Coturnix japonica: one gene and its partners. The protein of the gene in region 6 purifies or fractionates together with the protein of the main gene of each other region. This does not show direct contact. Links are inferred from orthologs where the notes say so. Each region holds a gene or a part of one and is shown on either strand. Other genes may lie near its edges.

The links.
Region 1: the proteins of RMND5A (region 6) and RANBP10 purify together in Homo sapiens (affinity purification with mass spectrometry; 4 studies listed by BioGRID and IntAct, counting the BioPlex papers as one, with this or other methods). This does not show direct contact. The link is inferred for Coturnix japonica from reciprocal best matches to the Homo sapiens genes RMND5A and RANBP10.
Region 2: the proteins of RMND5A (region 6) and SKI purify together in Homo sapiens (affinity purification with mass spectrometry; 3 studies listed by BioGRID and IntAct, counting the BioPlex papers as one, with this or other methods). This does not show direct contact. The link is inferred for Coturnix japonica from reciprocal best matches to the Homo sapiens genes RMND5A and SKI.
Region 3: the proteins of RMND5A (region 6) and MKLN1 purify together in Homo sapiens (affinity purification with mass spectrometry; 4 studies listed by BioGRID and IntAct, counting the BioPlex papers as one, with this or other methods). This does not show direct contact. The link is inferred for Coturnix japonica from reciprocal best matches to the Homo sapiens genes RMND5A and MKLN1.
Region 4: the proteins of RMND5A (region 6) and ARMC8 purify together in Homo sapiens (affinity purification with mass spectrometry; 5 studies listed by BioGRID and IntAct, counting the BioPlex papers as one, with this or other methods). This does not show direct contact. The link is inferred for Coturnix japonica from reciprocal best matches to the Homo sapiens genes RMND5A and ARMC8.
Region 5: the proteins of RMND5A (region 6) and RANBP9 purify together in Homo sapiens (affinity purification with mass spectrometry; 9 studies listed by BioGRID and IntAct, counting the BioPlex papers as one, with this or other methods). This does not show direct contact. The link is inferred for Coturnix japonica from reciprocal best matches to the Homo sapiens genes RMND5A and RANBP9.
Region 7: the proteins of RMND5A (region 6) and GID4 purify together in Homo sapiens (affinity purification with mass spectrometry; 4 studies listed by BioGRID and IntAct, counting the BioPlex papers as one, with this or other methods). This does not show direct contact. The link is inferred for Coturnix japonica from reciprocal best matches to the Homo sapiens genes RMND5A and GID4.

Annotation. Positions count from the first base shown.
Region 1 is NC_029526.1:1,706,481-1,709,980, forward strand, and holds part of RANBP10 (ran-binding protein 10), read left to right. Parts: coding exon 1-123; intron 124-791; coding exon 792-904; intron 905-2,302; coding exon 2,303-2,411; intron 2,412-3,233; coding exon 3,234-3,382; intron 3,383-3,500. UniProt on the Homo sapiens protein: May act as an adapter protein to couple membrane receptors to intracellular signaling pathways.
Region 2 is NC_029536.1:1,500,030-1,504,175, forward strand, and holds the start of SKI (ski oncogene), read right to left. Parts: upstream 2,801-4,146; 5' UTR 1,739-2,800; exon of another isoform or gene 1,634-1,738; 5' UTR 1,624-1,633; coding exon 712-1,623; intron 1-711. UniProt on the Homo sapiens protein: May play a role in terminal differentiation of skeletal muscle cells but not in the determination of cells to the myogenic lineage. Functions as a repressor of TGF-beta signaling.
Region 3 is NC_029516.1:2,803,398-2,806,897, reverse strand, and holds part of MKLN1 (muskelin), read left to right. Parts: intron 1-1,786; coding exon 1,787-1,934; intron 1,935-2,955; coding exon 2,956-3,070; intron 3,071-3,500. UniProt on the Homo sapiens protein: Component of the CTLH E3 ubiquitin-protein ligase complex that selectively accepts ubiquitin from UBE2H and mediates ubiquitination and subsequent proteasomal degradation of the transcription factor HBP1.
Region 4 is NC_029524.1:2,440,076-2,443,575, reverse strand, and holds part of ARMC8 (armadillo repeat-containing protein 8), read right to left. Parts: intron 2,248-3,500; coding exon 2,172-2,247; intron 2,082-2,171; coding exon 1,991-2,081; intron 1-1,990. UniProt on the Homo sapiens protein: Component of the CTLH E3 ubiquitin-protein ligase complex that selectively accepts ubiquitin from UBE2H and mediates ubiquitination and subsequent proteasomal degradation of the transcription factor HBP1.
Region 5 is NC_029517.1:68,373,667-68,377,656, reverse strand, and holds the start of RANBP9 (ran-binding protein 9), read right to left. Parts: upstream 2,801-3,990; 5' UTR 2,495-2,800; coding exon 2,050-2,494; intron 1-2,049. UniProt on the Homo sapiens protein: May act as scaffolding protein, and as adapter protein to couple membrane receptors to intracellular signaling pathways. Acts as a mediator of cell spreading and actin cytoskeleton rearrangement.
Region 6 is NC_029519.1:77,646,903-77,650,911, reverse strand, and holds the end of RMND5A (E3 ubiquitin-protein transferase RMND5A), read right to left. Parts: intron 3,653-4,009; coding exon 3,498-3,652; intron 2,191-3,497; coding exon 2,127-2,190; 3' UTR 501-2,126; downstream 1-500.
Region 7 is NC_029529.1:5,018,309-5,021,166, reverse strand, and holds part of GID4 (glucose-induced degradation protein 4 homolog), read right to left. Parts: intron 2,314-2,858; coding exon 2,212-2,313; intron 1,538-2,211; coding exon 1,407-1,537; intron 283-1,406; coding exon 219-282; 3' UTR 1-218.

The DNA of each region.
Region 1 (3,500 bases), on a different chromosome or scaffold from region 6:
GCAGCAGCCGTTTGTGTTTGACATCGAGGACTACATGAGGGAGTGGCGAGCGAAGATTCAAAGCACCATTAAGCGGTTTCCCATAGGAGACAGGCTAGGCGAGTGGCAAGCCATGCTGCAGAAGTAAGTCATTGTTCTGCTGTTCAGCTTCTTGTGTTCTCTTACATGCCCATTTCTGCTTTCTTATGGCAAAAGTTGCTCAAATCTAATATGTGTTGTTTTACTTCTGTTGTTTTCTGTGGTTTGAAAACTGGCCGAGCCCAGAGGGTGGTGATCACTGGTGCTGAATCTGATTGGAGTCTAAAGATCAATACTGGCTCCAGTCCTGTTTAACATCTTCCTTCCTTAATGCCTAGAGTTCACAAGTGGATTCAACTACCAATTACCAATAATAGCTGGACAAATAAGTGATAACAGAAATTAAGGGCCAGAATTGAAAGAAAGAAAGGATCAGAATGTTGGGGCTCCTTGAGGTCTACCTGAAAACCAGGAGCTTCTCTGAGGTTGGGATTTTCTGTGTATATAGAGAGAGGGAGCTGTGTCTTATGTGGCCAGGAGACATCAATGGCACTTACATAGTAGTGAGCTCTTACAGATGACCTTTAGGCAGCAGTAATTACATAAATACTGTGTATACACTGGAAGTTTTGTTTTTTTGTTAGAGCCCTGGTAATGAGCTGAGTTTGTTCACTGAAATTACAACTTCTATTGATTTTTTTTTTTTTTCCTGCATTGGGATTACTTTACATTACCAATGTCTCTTCATCCAGTTGTGTTCTCTTGTTTTCTAGTATGGTTTCTTCCTATTTGGTTCATCATGGGTACTGTTCAACAGCAACTGCCTTCGCCAGGGTCACAGACACTGCAATCCAGGAGGAACAGACCTCAATAAAGAACAGACAAAGTAAGTCTATGGGGTGGTCACATGTTGCATTCTGGCTGTGTTATTTGATTGCAGCACTGCTATCTGGAACAGAGGTAGTGCCAGACTGGTGGAGAATAGATCTCATCACTTGCACTGAACCGAAGTCACTGTGCTTCCGAGGTTCCTTTGGATTTGAGTTAGACTCAGTGATCACCGTGGATCCCTTACAATGCCACTATTCTAGTCCCAGATGGAGCTGTTGGTGTCCCTGCAATGAGCATGTTGGACTAGATAACCTTCAGAGGTCCCTTCCAGCTCAAATGATTCTATGATTCTACAGTTCTAAGAATTAATGTTCTGTTGTCTGCCTTGAATACTTCTCTTTCCTCTGCAGTGGTCCATCTCTTAGCATGTAAGCCCTCTTGGCTCCTGTAGAATAAGGCTTTGCAGCTTTCTCCTGCTGCACTTTTGCTTTTTCAGCCATTCTATTCACAGACTCAGACCACAGGCTCACAGAACATTGGTGTGTTTTCTGCATTCTCTCACTGAATGCAGGCTGTGCCCTGCCCTGTGTGTTTCCCTTTCCTTTGTGAACCGTTTCTCACATGGCCATCACACATCAGGTGCATCACCTCCGTATATCACATGTGCTGAGCCAGCATGCAGTTAGTTTGGATACTTTGCTCATTGCTCAGAGTAACAGAGCTGCTGCCCATTAGTGCCTTTGTATGGTTAGTGCTGATGGGTTTGTCTGCTTCCCAGGCCTTGCAGCCCTCACCCACCTGGTGCTCTTGCTGGTTTGGGTCTCCCAGTATGTGAGACAACCTGGTCTGATCTTTGTGAGCACAGGTGACAAGGGAGCCTGGAAGGAAGGAATACAGAGCTCTGCAGCTGGGGCTTAAATAAAGGTGTGAAGAGAGCACAGGTGGGGAAACAAAAAGAGAAGAAGGTAGAAAAGGCAGAGACATCTGTGAGTGCTGCCAGACAAGGCAAGGAGGAGAGCTGGCAAAAGCAGTGGGACGTGGAAAGTTGTGAGCAAGGAAATGGAAGGAACAGAAGGGAATGAAGGAGACCCAGGGGTTTCCCCTCTCAAATCCTAACTTCCCCAGCACCCTCCTTGCTCCCATCAAGCAGTCGTGTCCTCGGACTTTCCCACTGCTGCCTAAGCTCCTCTGGCTAAAGGAGTAAAGGTGCAGAGCACTCCACCCCAGTGCACCCACTTCATCTTTCAGATGCTCCAGGTGTTTCTGAGCTCCGAACAGATTCTGTCACATTTACAGACTTTTCTTCATCCTAATCTGTAATAAATACAGCGTGCTCCCCAGTTCTTCCCAAGCCCTTGTGTGAAGAGGTAGTGGGGAGCTGTGTGACGTACCTAAGACTGCTCTCTGAGTGTTGGCCTGCCCTGTGTGTCAACAGGTTTCCTTTTACTTTCAGGAATACAGAAGCTAGTATTAGCAGGCCGAGTCGGAGAGGCTATAGAAGCCACCCAGCAGCTGTACCCCGGCCTCCTAGAACATAACCCCAACCTGCTCTTCATGCTAAAGTAAGTATGAATAGCTTTCTGCACCCTGATGCCGTAATGTGAAGCTGAAGGAGATAAGGGGCTGTTCAGTCATCCAGGGAGGCTGCACACCTTGGTCTGAATTCTGCCTGAGGTCCCATTGGTCACCAGTGTTTCTAAGTTACAGAGTAGAAGGGTGAACTCTCATTGGCAGTTTTAGTATGTGCCCTGAAAAACCCATCCATGGTCTAATTTTGTACTACCTGTGGAGATGGTGGAGATGAAAGCATGTCATAAAGGAACAATGCAAAGGAAATAAATTTGTGTTTTGGGACTAAGAAAACTCTCTTTATCTCACTGTGTGTCCTCACAGCAGGCTTAGCATCACAGTGATTCTCTTGGGTCCTGAGCAGAGCGGACTTGGGAGCATTTGTTTAACTGGAGGAGTATTTCTAAGGCCTGCATCTGAATCTGTGAAGAGTTTCATCTCTGATGCTATGGCCCCATTGACACCGAAATGCTTTTTCTCCCTCTCTCTGCCTTCACTGATGCTAGCCAAGGTGGAACATTGTGTTGATGATCCTGGTGCTCCCCCAGGTGTGGGGCTGAAAAGAAGGGTGACTGCTGTTATACTGCTTGTCTGTCTCAGTGTGGTTCTCAGCATTCATTAGCACCCGCATGGCACTACATGAACTCAGAGTACTCACAATACAAATATACCAGGAGTCTGAAATGGCTCTTTCGAAGCCAAGAAATAACTCCTGTCCAATTCCTAAGGCTTCTGCAGGCAGTAAGTGAGGAAGCAGCAGTGCAGAACATGCTGGCTGTCACGCGCCCTTTTCTTCTTCCTTCCCATGAAATCAGGTGTCGGCAGTTTGTGGAGATGGTGAACGGGACAGACAGTGAAGTCCGTTGTTTCAGTGCACGCAGCCCCAGATCCCAGGACAGTTACCCTGGGTCCCCCAGCTTAAGTCCCAGACACGGATCCAGCAACTCACACGTTCACAGTACCGGTAGGTGCTTTATTTTGTTTCCTACGTCTTCCAGTGCAAAGAGCAAATATTAAAGGCAGGCTGCTGCACTGTGCATTACCTTCTGCTTTCCGTGCTGAAAGTGCTCCTTTCCCTTATG
Region 2 (4,146 bases), on a different chromosome or scaffold from region 6:
GGCACCTGAAAAACGCTGTCTGGCCTCAGGACAGCAGGGCACAACGCAACGAGCTGCTGCATCTGGCCCTTCAGATCCATTTACGTACACATAATCCGATATACAAAAGCCTGTCTTGCTGGGGAGAGCCAGACTCCGCTGGGATCCCCTAAAAGCACAGAGCTCGCTCCCGTTCTGCACTCCAATGAACACCAGTAACCTGCATTACATTCTCAGCGGCCACGTTTTATTCCAGCTCAGCCCCTGCCTCCATCCCTGGGGGCACGCAGTTGAGGAGAAAATCGTCTGCATTCGTGTCTGGGGCCATCAGAGTTATTTTCCCCTCCTTTCTTTCCCATCTTGACCTCCAAGCGAAGCTCCCGGCGCCCCAAATCACTTCCTGCTCAAGTGGGGCAGCGTGATGGGTTTCAAAGATCAGGTTCTGTGTACAATACGATACACAAACACATACAGCAGAATCAAACTCCAGCTCCCGAGCTCAGCACAAAACCAGAGGAAAAAGGGGAAAAAAAAGGAGCCATGTCGAACGCTGCTCGTCTACATGAACGCACACGTGGTGAGAATTAAGAACGCGATTAGATTGCTAAACGACTCTAAAAGGAAAACGGTTGGTAACAAATTGAGTACATCTATGGACGTCATCGAAAATCCCTTTTCTCTCTTTCTTCACCCTGGCTCCTTCTTAAAATAAGAATTTAAGGCATCACTTACCCTGGGGGCTTTCCTCTTGTATTTGTTGTTATAGTCAAATTTTTCTTTCATTTCATCTAAGAGCTGGCCCAGCCGAGCTTTCTCCTCTTTCCCAGTGTAATCCTGGCTGAGGAGGATGTAGGACCTCCAGTTTGCAGAGTCAAAGCCCCAATGGCAAGTCCTGTTTTCCAGGGATTTGTGAGAGTGGACCACAAATTTGTGAGGCGGGTACATGAGCCTGCAGTCCAAGCACTGGATGCAGGCTGCGCTGGGGTTACTGTAAAGCTCTGGTACCAGGAGTCCCTTACACTTCCCAAAGCACTCATGGTACACCTTGAAGCTCTTCTCTGTAAGCTCCAGCTCAATCGTGCTAGAGAATTCCTTCTTGCAGTGGGGAGGATAGGTGCCACCATAAAGCAAGGCGTTGCAAAGCCTCTCAGCGTCAGTTTTAGTGATCAGCCCGCACGAGGGGGCAGAGAAGGGCAAGATGCCCATGACTTTGAGGATCTCCAGCTGGTCAGCGGTGCACCTGGAGCAGTAAATGTGGAGCTCGTCGCACACCGAGTTGATCTGCTGCAGGGAGAAGTCCCTGAGCACCGAGTTCAGGATCTGGGGCAAGCAAAGGCGCTTTTCCCCACCCACCACGAAGCAGGAGATGGTTTCCCCTTCCAGGATGGTCTCGCACCTCTCAGTGGATCTGTCCGAGGGCATGAAGAAGGGACCAGGCATCACCGGGGGGGGCTGGATGGGGGGCAGATGCAGTACAGGTTCCGCGGGGTCTTTGCCATTGTCTTTCTTGTACATCTCCTGTGCCCATCGCGCTGAGAAAGCAGCAGGGCCACCCAGGGAGCTCATAGAGCTCAGATGAAACTGTTCCAAGGTCTTCTGCAGTCCTGGATGAGGCTGGAAGCTGCTTCTACTTACAGTCTCCATTTTTTAGTTTCTATTCCCAAAAACAAACAACAAAAAAATCCCCAATTATCTTCCACGCTGGTACAAATCCACTTAAGGGATTTTTTTCTTTTCTTTAAACAAAACAACAACCCACCCTTGTTGGTTTTTTTTCCCCCTTCCCACTCCGGTTTAACAATCCACAGTCGGCGAGGAAATAAATCCTTTTCGTTGGCGTTTCTTTCTCCTTTCTGTTCTCTCGCTCCGTCACAATCTCTCACCGTGCCCGGCCCGGCCGGAGCGCAGAGTCAAACCGAAGCCAGGTCTTCATCCGAGCACTGCCAGCCCCGGAACGCCGCTCCGAGCCGCGCTCCGGGCACCTCGGGTTAAATAAGAGCTGTTGGCTGCTGCTTCTCTGCAGCGATCCCGCTTGTGTCCATATCCACCAGGAGGAAGGAAAGTAAAAAGCAGGAGGAGGAAGGCGGCTCGGTGCGGGGAAGGGAGCGAGGCGGAATAGAATTAAAGGCCCCGATCTCCGACACTTCCGAAGCGGCGCTGCGGGCTGCCTGCCCCGAGCGCTCCGTTCGCTCGATCCGGCTCCCCGACGCCTCGCTCCCCTTTTCTTTCTTCCTTTCTTTTCTTCCTCTCGCTCTCAACGTGCCGTGGGGAGCCGCGCTAACATCCTCCCAGCTCCTCTTTCCAGCAGAGACTGAGAGTGCCTGAGAGCTGAGCTAATGCGGGCTGGCTCAGCCTCCCTCACTCCTCCTCCTCCTCCCCCCCGACTCTGTTTGTTGGTGTCTGCCTCAGTCATTGAATCCCGGCCAAGAATGTGACCAACTCCCCAGGCCGGGCTCTTCCAGGAACATCGGCCGCCTCCCCCCTCCTGCTCGGGCAGGCGCAGCTCGTTCAGCCCCGGGGGGAGGGAGAGAGGCTGGGTTCATAGAGCGGAGCGTCGCGAAGGAGGGGCGGCAGGGCTGGTGGGGGCTCGGCGTTTTATTTCTGGACGACAGTGAAAGAAATAAGGGAACAAACAGCACCTCGTGTACCCAACACCTGAACCGAACCGCTGCTAAACCTGCGAGCACCTGGTGTGGAGCACACACGGAATAACTGCAGCCCAACGGGGACCGACAGCCGGGACCCCGAGCAAGCGGAGCTGCGGGTGATGCAGCTCCGGGTGATGCAGCCGCTGCATCAAATGGCGGCGCCCGGAGGAACGTGGACGGGCCGAACCTGCGGCTCCGTGCAGGGAACGGCACCCCCTGGTGGCAGCTCCCCACCCGCCTGTCTGCCCTTCGGAACGGCTGGAGAGTTCGGAAAATACAGATACAAAACACGAGCCCCACAGCTCAGAGCTTTATCAGCGAGTCTAACGCAAAAAGAAGACGCTGGAAAGCTCTGCATACACACAACTAAGATATTAATGATGCAAGAGAGACTTGATGCGCTGCTCATAGTGCCTTGTGATGCAGAGACATTTGGTCTCTTCTGGAAGTTCACCACTATGGTATAAACGAAGATAAACCACAGTACAATAAAAAAGTGAAGCAAATCCAAACAGCTCCAAGAGCAAACAAACCCTCACCAAACCAAACAGGCTGAGGTTCAGCCAGGATCGATGCGGGCAGGGATCGCACCGAGTTCAGACGCTGTTTGTGTTTCTGTGCTCTGAAGTTCGAGCAGTCAAAGGGAAAAAGGCCTCACAGCTCAGCACAGAGCAGCACTTGGAGGCACCACTCATGCACCAGCTGTGTCCTCACACCCCAAGTCCAGAGAACTCCATGCTGCTGTTTGCACACAACAGCAGATCCCCCTGAGCCCATTAGGGATGTGGCATCCAAACAGGCTGCCAGCAAAAGAAGAGTTCACTACAGCACCAGATTCCTGCCTTAGATGGATTTAATTCTGCTTCATGCTTTTTTTTTTTGATGTTTTAAACTCTCTGAAATATAAACACGCAGACAGACTCAAACATCAAGTATAGATAATCCAATTTTGTTAAGAGCAAAATTGTCGTTTGCTGGAAGTCTGCTTAGTAATGGAAAAGCCTCTTAGTTCTGGATGCTGGGTTTTTTTTGCACTCCTTTTCCTTTACTCTTTGGGAATAAAGGACAGCAATAACCACAGCTCGTTTTAGGTGTTTGGTTGTTGTGTTTTTTTCCTTCCAAATGACTCTTTAATGTAAGTAAATTACTGGATTGGGCAACAGATGAGTGATTAACTCATGAGTGTGATCCATCAATGGAATTCCTGAAGCAGAGGGGACTACCAAAAAGACAGGAAGGATGGTCTGGTGGTTAAGACTAAACTCAGGACATCTGGGGTCCATTCCCAGATCTCCCACAGATTTCCTGTAGCCTTGGGCAAGTCGTTCAGTTCCTGCGTGCCTCAGTTTCTATGTCTGCTGTACTCAGATAGGAACTGATTAGAAGAGCAGCTTCTGAAATGAACTTCATGATGTGACAGAAACCAGTTTGCAACCCAGCTTGTATTTCCCTGTACCTACAGACTGCACAGAACTACACAACAGCGGGGCAGAAGGGGGAGCAAGGAGCACCAGGGATT
Region 3 (3,500 bases), on a different chromosome or scaffold from region 6:
TTTTTTGCTGTCAGTTTCCTCATTGGGTGACTTTCACAGTCCTGCTTAGACTTGGTCTAGAAACTTGCTCGTGGGTTACCAATAACGCAAATCATAAAGTTGTTCTAGATCGAGCGTTGTTCCCTGCTTTTCTTTTCTCCTTTGCTCTCTACCCATTTGCTTACAAACTGGAGGATCTTTCCTTTGAAACTTCATGGCAAAACAGAGGTCAAAATAGGCAGGTTTATGGTGATGAAGGCTTGAAAGGCTCTGCCTCGTGCTTTTCCATAAAAGCAATAAGCCAGAATTTGGTTGACAGGGCTCTAAAAATGACTTACCGGTATATATTTCAGTTCCTACTTACATTTAAATGAAAGGTAATCATTTTTAAGAGATGTTTGCTTTTCAGTGTTGCTAAACATTTTGGTAACGTTTTTCTGCCTAGGATTTTCAAATTGACATTTATTACTTTCCTAGTGTACCACATGAAAACAGCAAAGAATGAGATGCAGGTCTATTAGAGAATAGGTTTACAAAACACTGCTTTGTGTGTTCTTGAAAAGCAAAATTAAATGGCGTTATTAGCACAGGTCTTGTTTTCTAGGCTGTGTAGTTAATTGCAGGGAAGAATTTGCAAAATACAAGAGTTCTGAGAATTTTTCATGCCAAAATCTTGATTGAAATCCAGGAACCTTTACCAGCCTTTGTAAACTGACCCAGAAAGAGAAATGAGACAAACAGGATCTGTAAACAAAGATCACGTGTTTTTCGCAAATACATTTTGGAAGGATGGTTGCCTAGGGAAACAGGAAATGGGAATTATACAACAAACAAAAAGGACTGCCAAGCAAATTTGCTGACCTTTTTTTTTCTTTCAGGGAATTATGATGAAAACTGTTGGAATCCTCAGTATTTAAATGTACTTCTAAATCTGAAGGTGGAACAGAAGAGTAGCTTAGCAATTATACCACAGCCATACAGGAAATAAAGAAAACTTCCTTGTAATATTTGTCCTAAAGAAAACTATGCAAGACTGTGAGCTGTGTGATCATAAGTTTATCTTGATTTTTTTTCTTTTTTTTTGAGCTTTCAAGCTCAATTAAATATTGGGGAATCAATGCTTCCTTTTACATGATGAGATAATGACAAAATCATTCCATTTTTATCTTGCAAATATATAGTCTAGCTCTGTTGCAATGCAGCTTTCTTCTCATTTTTGAGGGCAGCAGTTTTTCACACCTTGTCTATGCTTTTCTCTAGGAAACAGCAGCTCTCAGGATGGTGTTTAATATGCTTCCAGGAATCACAAATAAGGGAATAAGAGAATTTGTACAGGACTTGTTCTTAGTGGAGAAGAAAATCAACCTTTGGGCAGTGTTTCTTCCTCTCATCTCTCTAATGTGACTTTGGAGGGCACATGTGAGGAGCGAGTGTTTTACTTAGCAACTTCTACATAGCTCCTGTTTAGAGATGCTTCAGTTTTAAGTGGTGGTAAAAAACAAGAATGCTGTGGAAAATAGAAAATACTGGGTTCACCTGGTTTTATATGAAAGTTGAAGAGGTGAAAGTACTTAAAAAACAGAAGATAGGGATAATAAATAGCAAGGTTGAACTGAAGATACTCTTCATCCAGAATACTGAGAAGGTAGTTGAATAAAATCTTGTACCTGTACCGTGGATATTAGAATATCCCACTATTCCCCTCTTAGAAGTTCATAGAGAGGATAATGCATTTATCTGATGCTTGGATCCTTTCCTGTATCCTCCTTTATTTTTAGCCTTCAACTTATTTTCTTTCTTTTGTCAGTTCCAATGACAGGATTCACTCAAAGGGCTACCATTGATCCAGAACTGAATGAAATCCATGTCTTGTCCGGGCTCAGTAAAGATAAGGAGAAGCGGGAAGAGAATGTAAGGAATTCTTTCTGGATTTATGACATTGTGAGAAACAGCTGGTAAGTCAATTAAAGGGGAAAACTTCCAACTTCTACAATGATTTCTTTAGACAGCAGTTTTTAACACAGTCATACTTATCAAGTAACTATGTAATAATTTATAACTATGCACTGGTAATCTTGAAGACTCAGTTCCTTTCAGGCTTTCTTTCCCAGTGTATTTAGAAAGCCATCTGAAGGGAGGAAACTGTTCTTCCTTCACTGGAGACAGGTGGGAAATGGGGGAAGAAGTAAGGGCTTATATGAAGTTTTTCCTGTAGGAAATGTTCAAGGTAAAAAAACATTTTCCTAATTCCCCGCTGGACCCTCCCCTGACAGGTCCATGCTATTCCCTCTGGCCTTGTTACTGTCACCAGTTCTTGCAAGGAGCTCTAGGTTGCTATGGGGCCTTCCCTCAGCCTTCTATGCTCTGGGCTGAAGAACTTTGGTTTTGGACCTCAGCTGTTCCTTGTACTTCTTGTCCTCTGGGCCCTTTCTTATCTCTGTAGCTCTCTTTTGGATGCTCTCTTAAGAGTTCTATGTCCTTTTTATATTGTGACATCCAAACTTCACCCTGTGGTTGAGCTGAGACCACACAGTACAGAGCAGAGAAGGACAATCCTTTACCTCACCTGGCTGGCAGTGCTGGGCCTTATGGACCCCAGGGTACGTTTTCCAGGGCACATTACTGATCTAGATTCAAGCTACTGTCAACTAGAATCCCCAGCTCCCTTTCTATGGGACTACTCTCCAAGCCTATCACCCTCAGTCTATGAATATCCAGAGTTGCCCTATCCTAGTTGCAGAATCTAGCGCTTGCTGTTGTCAAACTTTATGTACTTGGCAATTCCCTTGTCCAGTTTGTCAAGGTCTCTCTGTAAGACATCCAGTTGGAAACAAAACAAAACAAAAAAGTCAGTGTGGGAAAGAAATTAGTGATTAAAATGGTACTTTTGCTAAAGTTTGTGATCTAGATTTCCCTCATCCCTACTGTATGCAAAATACTATCCTATTAATCAGTACTTATTGTCATATATTTTAGGTCTTGTGTCTATAAAAATGACCAAGCAGCCAAAGAAAATCCAGGTAAAAGTCTTCAGGAAGAAGAGCCCTGCCCAAGATTTGCCCATCAACTGGTTTACGATGAGCTGCACAAGGTATGAGAGTCTAAATACATAGACAGTAATTTTATTTTTGCTGTTTATCCAGTGTTAGTTGCTTCTTCAGAGATAGTACAATGAAAATATTGCCTGTTTGGTGTTAACTGTTTTGGATTACTCAGCTAACGCATTAATGTGTTTTGAAATGAGCTGTACTTTTCCCTCTTATGGATAGCTCCTACAAACAATGCAGGTTTGTCAAGTGGCAAGCTACTGTCTTCTCTTGTGCTTGAGAGCACCTGCAGCTTTGTACGTTATCTTCAGGGACTTCAGCTCAAAACCTCTTGGAGTTGTTTCTTTAGTTTAGCTGTTGCGTTCATCCCTCCAAATACTCCCAGACCATTAACATTTCTATAAGAAATGTTGGCAATGTTATTGTTCTCTTCTCTCTTGTTGGGAATGTTTTTCTCTTGAGAACTCCTTGGCA
Region 4 (3,500 bases), on a different chromosome or scaffold from region 6:
ATTAAGTCAGATCTTCCAGGTCTACTTGAACAGTTGAAAAGCAAAGGAAGCTTCCTCAGATATCCCTGTATACCAGTATGTAGATTAAAACCAGCTTAGCAGAAGGCTTCAGAAATTCACCAAAATAACTCTACTTCTGTATTCTAAGGACTCTACCAATAAACCAGAGAGGAATCCCACGTTAATCAACAAAAGCTGGCACATCAAAAGTGAAGTCTTAATTTTTTATCAGAAAAGCAGTTACAATTTCACCTACTACTCCAGCCTAGAAGGAGTAGGAGTGAAGAGAGATACAGACTTACTTTAAGGGATACAAGCAGGGAACAGATTTAGAGAAGAAAAGCCAGTAGATTTTTGAAGTCCTTACACTGTCATGAAACTGATACCTTCAGTGCCCTAGGAAAGAGGGCTGCCCACAGGCTAATTAGGAGCCCACTCTTGAAGCACAAGACACTGGTTTGTTCCCCTCATTCTTGTAGGGTTTTTTTTGCTTTTCATTGCACATTTTTTCTTCTGTGCTTTCAAAAGTCCATTTGAGCCAAAAATGAGAGAATCTCCAGCCAAATCCCTCCAAATCAAAGCAGATTAGTAAAGAATACCAACATATCTGAGAGCGTTTATCCTAGAACAAGAAGAAACCAAAGCCAGAATAGATTTCTAACTGCAATTTGCCTTCATAACTAACCGATGCTCTTGTATCTTAAGTTAAAAAAAATAACCTGTTCTCATGAACTCGGTTTTTTAACCCTAATTCTCTGTTTTCTCTGAACTGCCAAAGAAACACAAATCGATCACAACAGACTTCTTCAAGACAGTTGATTTACCTTGCCTCCCCTTCAGTACCTGAAGAAAACCTGATTTGCTAGAGGGGAATGCAGGAGGCCCCCAGTCCAGCCTCCCACCACACAGTGGGATTACCTTCCTAAAACAATCCTCCCCAAACGTACACTTATTTATAATTGCTTTCATGAATGGGTTAAGTTGCCACAACCTGGCAACGTGACAAAAGAGACCATCCTCCTACTCCCCCCATCCTTATTCCTCAGCCAGAAACTCAAGCCTTTGCTCTGACAAGTGTCAGTGAAATTATTTTGGTGAATAGAATGAGAGAACTCATTGCTGTAAGCCAAAGATAAGCCACTAAAATCTGGACTAGCTGTAAATGGAAAGAATTAAAGGAGACCAAATCAAATAATCAATGACCAAACACTCAAATCATGTTAGATTTTAGTAGTTCATAGTGACATATCTCTTCAAACACCTGAAGTCATTTATTTACTCCATCTCATCAATATAAGAGAAGAAAAAGGGTCTTAAGCAGAGTTAGCTCCCAGCTTATCGAGTGTGAAACCCTAGTGTTAATGTTACAGAATTCAGTCACATTTTGTCACAAGGTACAAAGTCATTAGGTACATGAACATACAGGAATCTGCCCATATCAAAAGGGAAAGTTGAGAGATGAACTTTAAAATAAATTAGTAACTAATTCTGTTGCATGAACATATGAAGTTTAAAAAACAATCTATGCTTAATTAAACCATTTGAGAGAGTGTCTTGCTCTCTTCTTATTTTAGGAGAGGGCTTACTGTTCTCAATACACCACAGCCACAGTCTCCAAAGCAAACTCTCAGGACAGTGGTGTAACAAGCACATTATCTGGTAGTACACAATTACATTTCGGTATTATACTTTGTAAGGACAAACTACTGACTATAACCTATTTAACATAAAACTTATAATCAAATTCAAGCTACTTGAGAAAACTGCAGTTCAACTGAAGAAAACAGAGGTGGTTTTTTTCTTGTTTATGCTCAAGAAAAAATAAGATGACTAGGTGATAACAATATTTCAAGTATCTAGGTAATACAAATAACATCTTTCATTATTCCTACCTAAAGTTTTAGTTCCCTCGCATGCAGCGAGGATAAAACCAAAAGTTAAGAAGTACTAGATTGCACACTATTGCATTCCAATTCCCGATGAAAATTACCATTTGGCTGATGTGAGCTGCATTTCAATAGGCTTGTCCCTTTGTAACATCTTCACAAAGATTTGTGGTAACAGTTCTCCGTCAACCGACACTGTAAGTAATGGAAGAGAACTCAAAGTGATACTAATTCAATCAGTCAATAAAGTAAGTGTCAAACAAGCAGCGGTTGCATTATACTTACCATTTACCAGAGTCATTGATACCTGTGGGTTTTCAAAGGCTAGAACGGAGAAGCATTTCAAGGCTTGCATTCGAACCTGTTTAAAAAAAAACAATAAATAAAGCATAGATGTAAATGCTAACTTAAAAGTAAAACAGGACTGTATTGATGTACAAAGCAGCAGAAATAATTCTGCATCACCAGTAAGAAATTTAGATGGATAAAAAGCAGATAAAACATCTAATTCACAGTTTAACTCCTGTGATCTCCCTGCTTGGAATTACCATTCCAGACTTGACATTGTAGACTGTTTTCAAAGACACAAGCAAGGACTGGCATGTGGGAAGCAGACATTCAGAAACACTAGTTTCATTTGTGGTTTCACACAAACATGTAAACAGCAAAAAAAAAAACCCAGATATATCATAAATCCAGTACTTCCTCTTTCGAGGATTCATGAGTACCCTGAGGGAATTAGAAACACATGTCACTGTATCAGTAGTTTTTAAAGGTGAATTTAATAATATTTCTGAAGAGATTATCCAGTCAAATTGATTTTAAACTAATCTTAAAACAATAATATACTGTAAGTTTCATTGCTATTGCATAACATCAGTTATCACTCGTGCACTAATGATTCACAGCTCTCTATGCTGGATCACTGAATTGTTTTGGTTGGTTGGAAGAGACCTCTGGATATCTTCTGGTTCAACTTCATCTATCAACTAGGGCAGCTGGCTTCTGAATATTTCCAAGGAAGGAGACCCTACAACCTCCTTGGGTAGCCTCAAATCTGAAACTAAGTTTTGGTTCATCAAGCCTTCATAACTGCCTACTAAAGATGACTTCCTTCTGACCTCTTTTTTGAGGCAAGGAAGATCATCACCATCATCCCAGATAATGAATCTAATTTAGTTCACAGTCTTTTGACTTCAATTGCTACAGTTCTATATATGTTGTAGTAGTCGTTAATGAGGAATCTATATATGTAAATTTTGCTGATGTCTTTCTATGCTTTTGTTACAACTTCCTTAGTGTGACCATAACACTAAGAAGCAAGATTTCAACCTAAAAATCCCTGTCGCTGAAGAAAGCATTTGTGACTGTTGCATTTTAGGTTTAGGTTCATCTTCCCCAAGAATTCTGAAGGCAGACAATAACAGCAAAGACTACCAAGCATTCATACTGTATCTCACTACAGTCAAGGTAAGACAATCAATAGCAGTGAAGTCAGGAGTAACAAATAGCAGAAATGGATACATGGCTTCAAAACAAAAGCCTTATTTGGCAACACTTCTGTTTACTGAACAGATGATTTCATGAATACAAGGTATGCACCAACGCAACAGG
Region 5 (3,990 bases), on a different chromosome or scaffold from region 6:
AGTTCTGTTGTCAGAAAACTACAGACACAGCAGGGAAAGCTTGAGAAACTGCATCACTGATGTAAGAAAAGAGAAGAACCAATTGTGACCACTGGCTTCTTTGGCCAGACCCATCTTCTCCCCCTTCCTTGGACACACTTCCTTGGTCCAGAACAACAGATCTTCATCTGTGTTCAGGCATGATTCATATTTTAACAAAAACATCTACCACTCTTTCACAAATGCTGGGCCTTTTGTGGTGCCTCTGAAGTTACCTAATATCCTAGAGGAAATTCTGTGATCCTATAAGATACTTTGAATGCCTTCTTTTGAGACCGCTACTTGCGGCTGATTTGTAGGGACAACATTTCAAAACACTAAGCACATTTCTGCATGCTATCTGCTCTCATGTTCCTCACTGAACCTCCTCATTTTCCTCCCTTTGACTGCATTCGTAGGGCTGTAAGATCCAGAGGAAAAAGGCCACAAATGTTTCAGTTATTTCCCCACGCAGTGCCTCAGGTAGGAGTGTCTGATACCTCACACTGCTGAGCCCAGGTGCCAGGCTGGTAACATGCACCGGGGCTGCCTTCACATCCACCTCCATTCAGCTCCCAGGGAGAAAAGAGGGGCCACTTGAGAGGCCATTCACTCCCACTTGCAGCTAGGAGAAAGAAAAACCCATTCATGACACCTCACCTCTTCACAGACCCCTGGACTAATTTAAGAACTCTCCAGCCTCCATCACTTACTATTACTTAAGAGCAAGAGAAATGGCATTTTATTCCCATAACCTACCAACTGTGCTTCACATCTTCCAGTAGAGCATCCACGGCATTTCCTACACTGTCTTTACTTCAGAGGCATATGGAGCCTGCTTTAATTTCTCCAAAGCAACACATTTCTGGTTTAATACTAAGGCGAAGAGGAGGAAACCAGAAATAGCACAAATAAAACCTGAAAATACACTTCTCCAATTACAGCGGCTGACCAGAAAGTCTCTAAATTCTAGTTCATGAGCAAAAAGAGCAGGGCAAAGCAGAACACACAGGAGGACTTGATGGCCATAAAGCTATGATCACCCTATGAAAACAAGTAAAAAGCAACTCAAACCGACTGCAGCCACTAAGCGGCAGAAAATACAAAACGCTTCTAAAAATACGAGGGCATGAAAAACTGAACAAAAGCCAGGAAATGTGAAGTTGGGTATTAAATAACACGTCCTTAAAGCACTCGGGGCCTCCCAGAAACCTGCTCTGTAGCTGGTCGCCAGCCTCCCACACTAGCTTCATACGGCACAGCACGCTTAGCATTTTGAACAGAGTATTCTGTATGTCATAATAAAGCCTCTCTATTAAAAAAAAAACAAGTCCCCGAGAGTACATTTAATCCTTTCACGGCAGCCAAATCCTGCCATGTGTTTGTGTTGCCGTTTTCCCCCTCCGATTAAACAGTAACATGTTTATCGGGATTTCACTCGAATTTCACCACACAGCACAACCCAGAAGGGTGACTGCGGGGTTGTTTCCTCCCCACCCGTTCGCTGGGCACTGACAAAGGAGCCGGCTCCTCGCCGCCAGCATTAGTGGTGGTGAAGCGCAGCCACTCTCCCCTCGGAGCAGGCCCGGAGCACCAGATGTGGCCGTGTTTTTTCAGGTCAGAGCGTACGCCGGCCGTTTCCAGGTTTTATGACATTTCATAACAACCAACACTCGCCGCTTTCCTACGCTCGCTCGGATCCGTACGCGCACACGGCTCGATTTTTATCTTCCTTCGGAGAACCAGCAAGTTGAACCAGGAGGCAAGAAGTTACCAAACCACCTTAGCAGACACAAGTCCCTCGGCCACCCCTTCCCTCGCAAAGCTTCATCCCCTTTTCACCCCTCTTCAAAGCACACCCCTGCTCCCTCCCCTCCCCCCCGTTTCCGCGTTCCCCGCAGGAAGGAGCCCCGCACCGCCGCCCCGGGGACGGCCGAGGCCGGGGCAGGGATCGCGGAGCCGGGCGGGGGGGCGCGGAGGAGGAGAAGGGCGCGGAGCGTTATTTCCTGTTATTGTTGCCCCGGCCCTCACCTTTGTAGTGGACGCGCAGGTTGCCCTGCGAGAGGCCGATGTAACTGAATTTGTCCTTGGGGCTCCAGGAGCGCGGCAGCGGCGTCTCGTCCTGGTTGACGGCCGGGTACAGGCGGTGGAGCCGCCGGTTCAGCTCCTTCTCCTGCTCGTTCAGGGCCGGGTCGCCGTGCGGGAACGCCGCCGGGGCGCCGCCGCCGCTCCCCGCCGCCAAGCCCGGCGCCCCGCCACCCCCGCCGCCCCCCGCGGGCCCGGTGCTGCCGGCGGCTGGAGGCGGCGGCGCGGCGGTGGCGGGCGGCGGCGGAGGGTGGAGCAGGAGCGCGGCGGCAGGCGCGGGGCCGGGGCTGGACGCAGCCGAGGGGACCCCCGGCGCCGGCGGCGGAGCGGCGGCCGCCAAGGGGAGCGGCGGCGGCGGCGGCTGTTGCTGCTGTTGTTGCTGCCCGGACATCCCGGCTCCGGCCTCCTCCTCCTCCTTCTCCTCCTCCTCTCCGCGGCGGCGACCGTCAACGGATCGGCCCGAGGCGGAGCGGCGGGCAGGCCCCGCGCTGCGGAGAGAGGCGGCCCTACCGGCGGGTCACCCCTAGCCGGAGCGCCTAGTAGCGGGGGGGGGCGGGGGCGATGACGACGGCGGGGCTGCCCGATGGGAGCCGGGGGGCGCGGCGGAGCAGAACCAGGCCGGAACGGGCCGATGGAGCGAGCGCTGCACGGAGAGCGGCGCCGGGCGGAAGCGGAGCGGGCCGGGAGCGCGCCGGGCGCCGCGGCGGGGCGGGGCGGGCTCCCCCTTCTCTCCTCCCCGTCCCCTCCCGTCTCGCGTGCGCGCCCGCTCCGTCCAGCCCCGGCGTCCCCCGTCAGCTGCCGCCCGGCCCCGCCTCTCCGCTGCACGCAACAGCGATGGGCGCTGAGGTGCGACGGCGGTGGGCGTCGCTATGTGGTGGAGAGCGGGGCTTGTGGGCCGTGAAGCTGCGGGGAGTCTCGGTGGTGGGGGAAGTTAGGTAGTGTGTCTTCTTACCCACGCATACAGCGTTGTTGTTTCATAAGCGGTTGCTTGCGGTGATTGTTTCACGTGAAGGAGAACCTCCTACAAATTTGGGACACGTTTAGGAGAGGAAGGACTTCTCTAGAGCCTGAAACATTGGGAGCTTCAGACAGTGTTTCCAGCTGCCAGAAGGTTGGAGAACAAGCACGGGAGCAGGAAATAGGGAGGTTAATTGCTCTACACCCGTGCCAGCGAGGTAATGCAGGTGTGATGCGCACCTACGCTGATAGGAAGCTGAGTGGGTTCCTCAGAGCCAGCAAGGTATCTGTCAGGTGAGGCAGTGCCATGATGTAGTGCAATGGCATTCTGGCTTGTATCAGATACAGGGCAGCCAGCAGGCACAGGAAGGTGATCATCCCTCTGTACTATGCACTGGTGAAGCCACACATCAAGCACTGTGCTCAGTTTTGTGCCCCTCAGTACATGAAAGACATTGGACCCTGGAGTGTGTCTGGAGAAAGACAATGAAGCTGTGATGGTCTGGAGGACAAGTCTTACACGGATTCCCTGCCTCTCACAGGCTGTCCACCAGCATGTCTAAGCTCTCTTTCAAGCATCCTGTAAACCTTAAACCTCGGGATTTTAGAGTTTATCTATCATTTGGCACTCATCAGCTATCTGGGGATATATTTGCTCTGTTCATAGCTTTTCTGAATTTCAGTGAGCATTTTTGCTATCGCTATCAGCCGAGGCAAGTGTCATGGCTGACACTTCCTTTCCCTTTTTTCCCACTGCCCACTGTGAGATGGCTGCCATCGAGCTACAGTGTGCTGTACAACGAGGTGTGGTGGAGTCGCCATCCCTGCTGGTGTTCAAGAGGCATCTGGATGAGGAGCTATGAGATATGCTTTAGTAGCTTCTGGTAGCAGTGGTGATAAGAGGATGGTCGGACTATGTGACCATGTAGG
Region 6 (4,009 bases):
GTTTCATTCCAGCTCTGAGCCCAGTGCAGCAGTGATCTGGATACATACAGAACCTTCCTCTTACTCTGCATTGCAGTGCAAGGGGATTCATAAAGGTTCCGAATTTGGTACAGAAGCTCAGAAATGAGTGCAGCACTTCAAAATGCTTTAGAAGCATTTAGCAGAAGTATCTGATTTTAAAAACACTGTGGATGTTTCCAAACTGCAGTAGAGAAAATGAGACACATTGGCTGCTGATCGGATCTGAAATAAGAATAGAAAGAGATTATAGTAAGAAATAACTCACTCTTTGGGCAAAGGAAACAACTCAGGCAGTAGTAGGAGATAAATAAAGAACCAAAGTGCAGGCAGTGCCTCACAAACACACCCAGCACCACATCGCGCTGCCTCGCACATAAGCGCTCTATAATCAGACCACGAGCATCACCTGTTGGCGGAGCTTCAAAACTGCAAGCAGTAACCCAGCAGGTAACCCAGCAATTCACCAAGACTAGGAAGCCTACGTGGAAAATAATATCCTCACCTGTTTATTTTTGTTAGTTTTACCACTCGGTAACCTGGTTGGTTGGAACTCAGTGTGAATACAATCGAAGCTTTGCAGAAAGTCACACGTACCAAACACACTCCAGGCTCAAAACGTGTCTGCCTTGACTTCTCTTTTCTCTCTCAGTGTCTCTATCCAGGACGTCCATCGTCAGGGATCCAACAGAGTCCAACTCAGTCTCTCAAGTCAGGTGCCACATGGATTCAAAAGGTGGAGATGTCTCACAGACGGTCTTCCTTGTAGTGCATTGTGTCAGTGAGTTCGACCAGTGTGTCAGTATTCAACTTGGGGTTTTTTTACTCCACAATACAGAAATAGAACTTTACACGTAGCTTCGCATGCCTTATGGCCGCTCGCCCTACTATAGGACAGTGCAATAAATACAAATATCTGCACACTAGAAAAAGATCCAACTGCCATGATCTACACCTTGTTCATGAGTACAAACCTAGTCAACAATATGACAAATTCAGCAGAAAAAGTGGCAATGGCAGTAATAGTCTACTACAAAAACAAGGCTAGAAGCAAAGTGTTGTCAAGCTACAGAAAGTTTGCTACCTCCCAGTATGTGACGTAGGGCCCAATCCTGCCAAGTGACCAGAAGACTGCATCAGAACATGCTTTTCCCCCATTTAACAATGAATACTTATACAATTTATTTGGTTTTGATAACTGTTTATAAATAGCACACTATCATGACTATTCAACTATACAGCAACATGACATTTATAGCCTAATCCTGAATACAAAGTCCAAAGAACATGACTATGAAGGACAGAGAGCAAACGTTGTCAACTAAAAGCAGTTCCACTTCAGAAGTTTGTTTTATTGAGTATTTTTTTACACAAACGTTTGAAACCTAAGGAACAGGATTTCCTCTTCCCTCTGTTCCAGCAGTAATCTACCCACACATCACCCTTATAAATTAGTGATGGATTTTAACAGGTAAGCCCCTCAGGGCTATATATTTATATATTTTATATATATGCACATTTACTTTGAATTCTATGTAAAAGTTGAAAAAAAAAAAAAACAAACAAGTGTTGGAAAGAAAACCTCAGAATATATCACAGCTCTTTCAGCAAAAAAAATACAAATTAGTTTTATAACCACTATTCAATTTATCAAACTCTTCTTTTTTTTTTTCTGTTTAATTATGTACACATTACAGGAAATAAAACTTCTTCCACAAACATTCTCTAAGGTGACGGATACTGATAGATGATAGCAGGAGGAATATTAAACAAATGGGGGGGGGGATCCGTTTCTGCTTTTAAAAAGTAAAAAGTCACCATATAATTGAGTACAAAAACCTGCATTGAATGACAACTGCTGGTGTAGTAACTTGATCAGGTATGGAGACCAAGAGTATAGTAAAGCCCTATGGTAATAATATTTCTGTAGCGTTTTCCACTCGGTATGTGTATACTAAATGTTGGCAAAGTTTCTGTAGCATTAGCTTATACAAACATAGGAGTCCTCAGTCTGCTGCATAAAATGGAACAGGTGTGTTTTAATTCTCCTGAAATGCACCTGAATTGCAGAGTGTCACTTACAAACCGCATCATAACGAAGCTTCTCTTCAGAAAAATATCTGTTTGGCATCTCCAGGACTCTGTTCCATCGGACAATAGGGGCATTTTAATCTGGGGACAAAAACAACACGTTAGGATGGCAGTAATGCAGGCAGAAGCCTGCTGAAACACAGCTAAGCACAAAGCTTCTTCCTCCACCAGACTGGCAAGGACAGCCCTTCCTCCTTTCCCCCAGCAGCACACAACAACACTTGAAGGCTCTGCTAAAAGTTACCTTTCACAAAGAGAAACCTTATCCCATTTTTTTCCCCCCTTTAATCATGTTTTCTCACCTTTTACCCACTCACCTCTGAATTATTAAATACCAGGAAATTATTCTTCATGGCTAATCTATTATTTAAGCTTTGGGGTTAGTTAGTTTGTTGCATTGTAGCCGTTTTAAGCAGGCTGGTGGCTTTCAGTGTGATTTCATTAACATCCAGTCAGTTTTGCTCTCCTGTGCCCAAAATGCTGTCATTTCTCAATCCACACAGATCAGCACCTGCAGGCTATGGCTAAATAGGTCAGCCTGGCCTCCCTGCTGAGGTGTCCACCAGCACAACTCCATCTGCTCACTGTATTTCTTCTAGCACTGATGCATCTTTCCCCTATCTCTAAGTTTGCATCTTTCATTCCCCAAAGTCAATTTTGTCAGAGCTGTTCTGGCAGTAAAGCTGATGAATAAAAGCATCAGGAATGAGTGACCAGGGACAGGAATAACATAGCAGTAAGCTTACTGGCTTAAAATGGATAAAGTTACCCAAAAAGTATACCCTCCCCCTTTTTGTTTTGTTTTGTGTTTTTAAACAGAGCAAAGAATGCAAACATTACTCAGTGTTTTCAATCCCAGGATCACTTATTTTCAAGCTGGATGTCACAAAACAACCAAGAGCTCTAAAAAAGCCAACAGCCTTCATAGAAGCTTCATACATTCAACATGTTACCTTCTTCCTGATCGTGCTACCAAGGCACGATCATTCAACTACCCACTCAATTACTAAGCCAAAACCCCAGAGGTTTACTTCCCCTGCCTACTTTAAAGGGGGTTTCCACCATTACTAGCCTTGCTCCCAGTGAAAAACCAGGTGTGCAGAAATATCTCTTTGAATTTTGTGACAACATGATGGTATTTACAGCTTGGAACATTACTCCTTTGTCTACATTCCTTCACGTAAACCCTTTCAACAACATCAGAAGGTTTCTTATGCTATCCTCCAGCACATCAGCTCAGCCATCTGACTTCAAAGTCATACTCAAAGACTTACAAGCTTCCACCAGTTATGGAATTGTGGAGCCAGCTTTCCTCAAATGCCATATTCTAGTTTTAAGAGTCATCATTCTCTATACTTTGCTTGGAATGCAAAAAAAATGTAACTTACTTGCTGCCATTAAACATTTTATTCAAAGCATCTCTTGATATAATATGACCACAGACTAATTTCATAGGTGGATTATTATCTGTTGTTTGCTGACGGAGAATGGGACAGGCAAATATTGAATGGTACCAGCACTTTTTACCAAGGTCCACTTCAATCTGTGAAAGAAATGAAGATAATTTTATCTTGGGAAGCAACATTTCCAGACAACCATTCCTTTATGTCACAAAATTCCTTAAGTAAGAACTGTAACTCGGCACTGAAGGCAGCAAAGTCCATCAAGTTGATGCTTCACAACTTGAGGACTGAAAACTGCAGGGCTCGAATGTGCACACTTGAGGGTTCCACTCTCACTGTTATAAAAGAAACAGCTGAGAGAAAACTTGACACACACACTGAAGCTACATATGAATCTCTTCTAGGTTAAGACAGTGAGGCTAACTCAGACCATGCCCAGTTTGCAATAAACAGGATTTATTTCCAAATGAGGAGCAGCTCATTAGAGAGCTGCATGA
Region 7 (2,858 bases), on a different chromosome or scaffold from region 6:
CCAGATTAAAGATCAAATCGCCACTCGACAGGAGGGAGAATTAAGCTCCAGCAGCCATGCTCCTTGGGCTGGTGGGTTAACATTCAGGCTCTCTCTCGTGAGTCCGAGGGGCAGGAGAGAAGCGTGCATTCCCGTGCTCCGACAGGGACACAGTCCTCCTGGCAGGCCATGCTCTCCTGCCCCGTTTGCTTCTGTGCAGTATCAGTTCTGGACAGCTGTCATCGGAATTCATAGATAGGAGCGCTGTGCTCAGGAACATGAGTTAAATTCAATGACTGATACCTGGGAGAGAGGAGAAAGATGGATGAGAAGATTACACAGAGCAACAGACCCTCCTGCCTTGAACCAAGAGCTCCTGTTCAACAGGCTGCAGCCAGGTGGGTTCTCCCTTTCCTTTTGGGACAGTCTCAGTGGCATTCAAACCTCTTGGCAGTGGTGCCAAACCCCTGGGAGGTCTCAGCTTCGTTCCTCATTTCCATTCCCATGTCTTGGAGCTACCTGCAGCCAGACTGCCATCGAGCAGGGCTGACTGCGGGCTTTGGACACCTTTTGAAGTTTGACAACTTTCATGTTCAAACAGTGTTTGCTTCAGCTGAAAATTAGACTCAAATCTTTCAAAGCTCAGCTTGAGGGGATTCATCTGAAAGCCTCCCAGGCACCTTCCTTCCCTCTGAGAGTTTCCAGACACCCTACAGATTCACTTGCTGTGCGTGACAAATATCTTTATTATTTATCCAAAGCCAGGGAAAAGAGCTCTCACAGCTACTTGTCAGAGAGCTCTAACAAAAAAAAACACCACTACCACAACCAATTAACTTTGACTGTACCCTGCATCTTGCAGCAACACCTCAAGCACCTTGGACTACAAAGCACTGGCCTAACAAGACACCTGCCTAAAGGGAGCAGCAGGAGAGCTGTTATAGGTGAGAAGGCACCTAAGCTCCCTCTGATATCTTCTGAAGGGCCACAAGATTTCTCCTGCTGGAGAAGCTCAGAGCCTGAACTACTTCAGACTTTTACAGGCAACCCCAACAAAGGTTTGCAGGCTGGAGCCCAGGTTTCTAGATGGATGCTAATAGTGAACGACAGCTGGGGTCTGCCTCCCAAAGCACCTCACACACATCAGATCATTGCTTCACTGCTCCACAGCATGTTTCCATACAGTGTTTCCCTGCATCATGCTGCCAGCTCAATTACCATCAGCCATGCAAAAGACAGCACTTTACACCACACAGATGGGCCAAGCACATAAACCCTCCCTCCCCATCAGGGTCCAGCTACCAAAACAAATCTCCTTCCCACCAAAATAAGTGTGCTGCCTGGGTGCTCCCAAGCCTGCAGATGGGCAGAAGAGGAGTCCCTGCTTTGTCTAAGGAGGCCCACTAAAAGGAAGAAAGCTTCCTTACCATTCTGAACTCCTATGGTAGTAATAGCCTTCTATAGATGCTGCTGACTTCTGGAAGCAGATGTAATAGAAACCAGCAAAGGAAGCACCGCTGATGTCTTTGATAGTGTGGTCTGGCACTAGGAACTGTTCCTGCACACAAGACATAATCTGCATTTAGAAATGTTGGTCAAATGCTCCCATCCCGCACCCAAATGGGCCCTCCCAAGATAAGTACCAGCACCCACTAACACAAAAGCACTCCTGGTTGAGCATTCCCTGCATTCCTAGCAGCCCAGACCAGGATTTGTGTATTTTTTCACCTCCTGGCCCTGTAAGCATCTTACAGTGAAGCAAGAACTGAGAGCAGAAGTACTTTCAAAGAGCACACAAAATCCATTTCAGTCCAACACCTGCCCTTTCCAAAACAGGCCAATCACAAAATCAGCAGAGCTGACTGAGGATCCCCTCCCTTCACAGCTGCACACAGTTCATGTCAAGAGAGAGGATTCAATCCAGCTGTAGAGCCAAGAGGGGCAGACTGGTCATCAAACTGCATCAAACCCAGGCCCAGCACAGGAGCTGGAGATACAGAATCTCTGAACCTCTGGAGAAGCACCAAGTACAATTTTCCTGTTGTGTTTTCAGGCATGACTGCAGCCTTTAAAGATGCAACGAGATGACTAGACAGGAGTCACACTGGAATTTGCAAGTATGGCAGGTTAATGAGGTCAGACAGGACAAGATCTTTCATTAGGCCAACACCAGTAGTTGAAAACGCTTTCAAGTCCCTGTCAGTTCATCAGAGAAGGCGACACACAGTTTACCTTCCATCTCATGAAGACATAGTCCCCGTTTTTCAGATCCTCATAATCAAAGTCATCAGAGTTAAATGTTTTTGCGTACTGGTAGAAAGCTTGGAATTTCCCCTAGAACAAAAGGAAAACAAGTAAACACAAAAACCAGGAGGCTTAATTCAGGAAAAGTGCTTACAAGTGCCAGGTGCTATTCTGGAGGAAAAAGACAGGACCTCCTCATTGAAGGGACTGCTCTTCTCTCAGAGCAGCACTGAGTGCGTGCCCCAGGACTAGCACAGGGCAACAGGGACTGCAGACATCCACAACCACATCCAGCCTGGTTGCAGAAGGTCCTGAACTTCTTTGGGTATATATACATATAAAAATAATATTTGTTGACAAAAATCTAACAAACATCAGTCTGGCAAGCAGCAGCAAAGGTCAAGGCAGCAAAGTAATCAGCCAGCTGCTGTGGCCCTGAGCCAGGGCACGCCCTGTCCTGGTGAGAAGGCTGAGGTTGCTGGTGCCACAAGACACAGGTGCCTGTGTCAGAGGGGCACCTTGCCCCTTCTCCATTCTGTTTTGTGCTAAGCCTTCAAAACAAGCAGTGTTCTCATAGGAGTGAAAGAGATGGGAATTGCTCCTGCCTCCCTTCCAAGCCCAGGGCCAACAAGTGG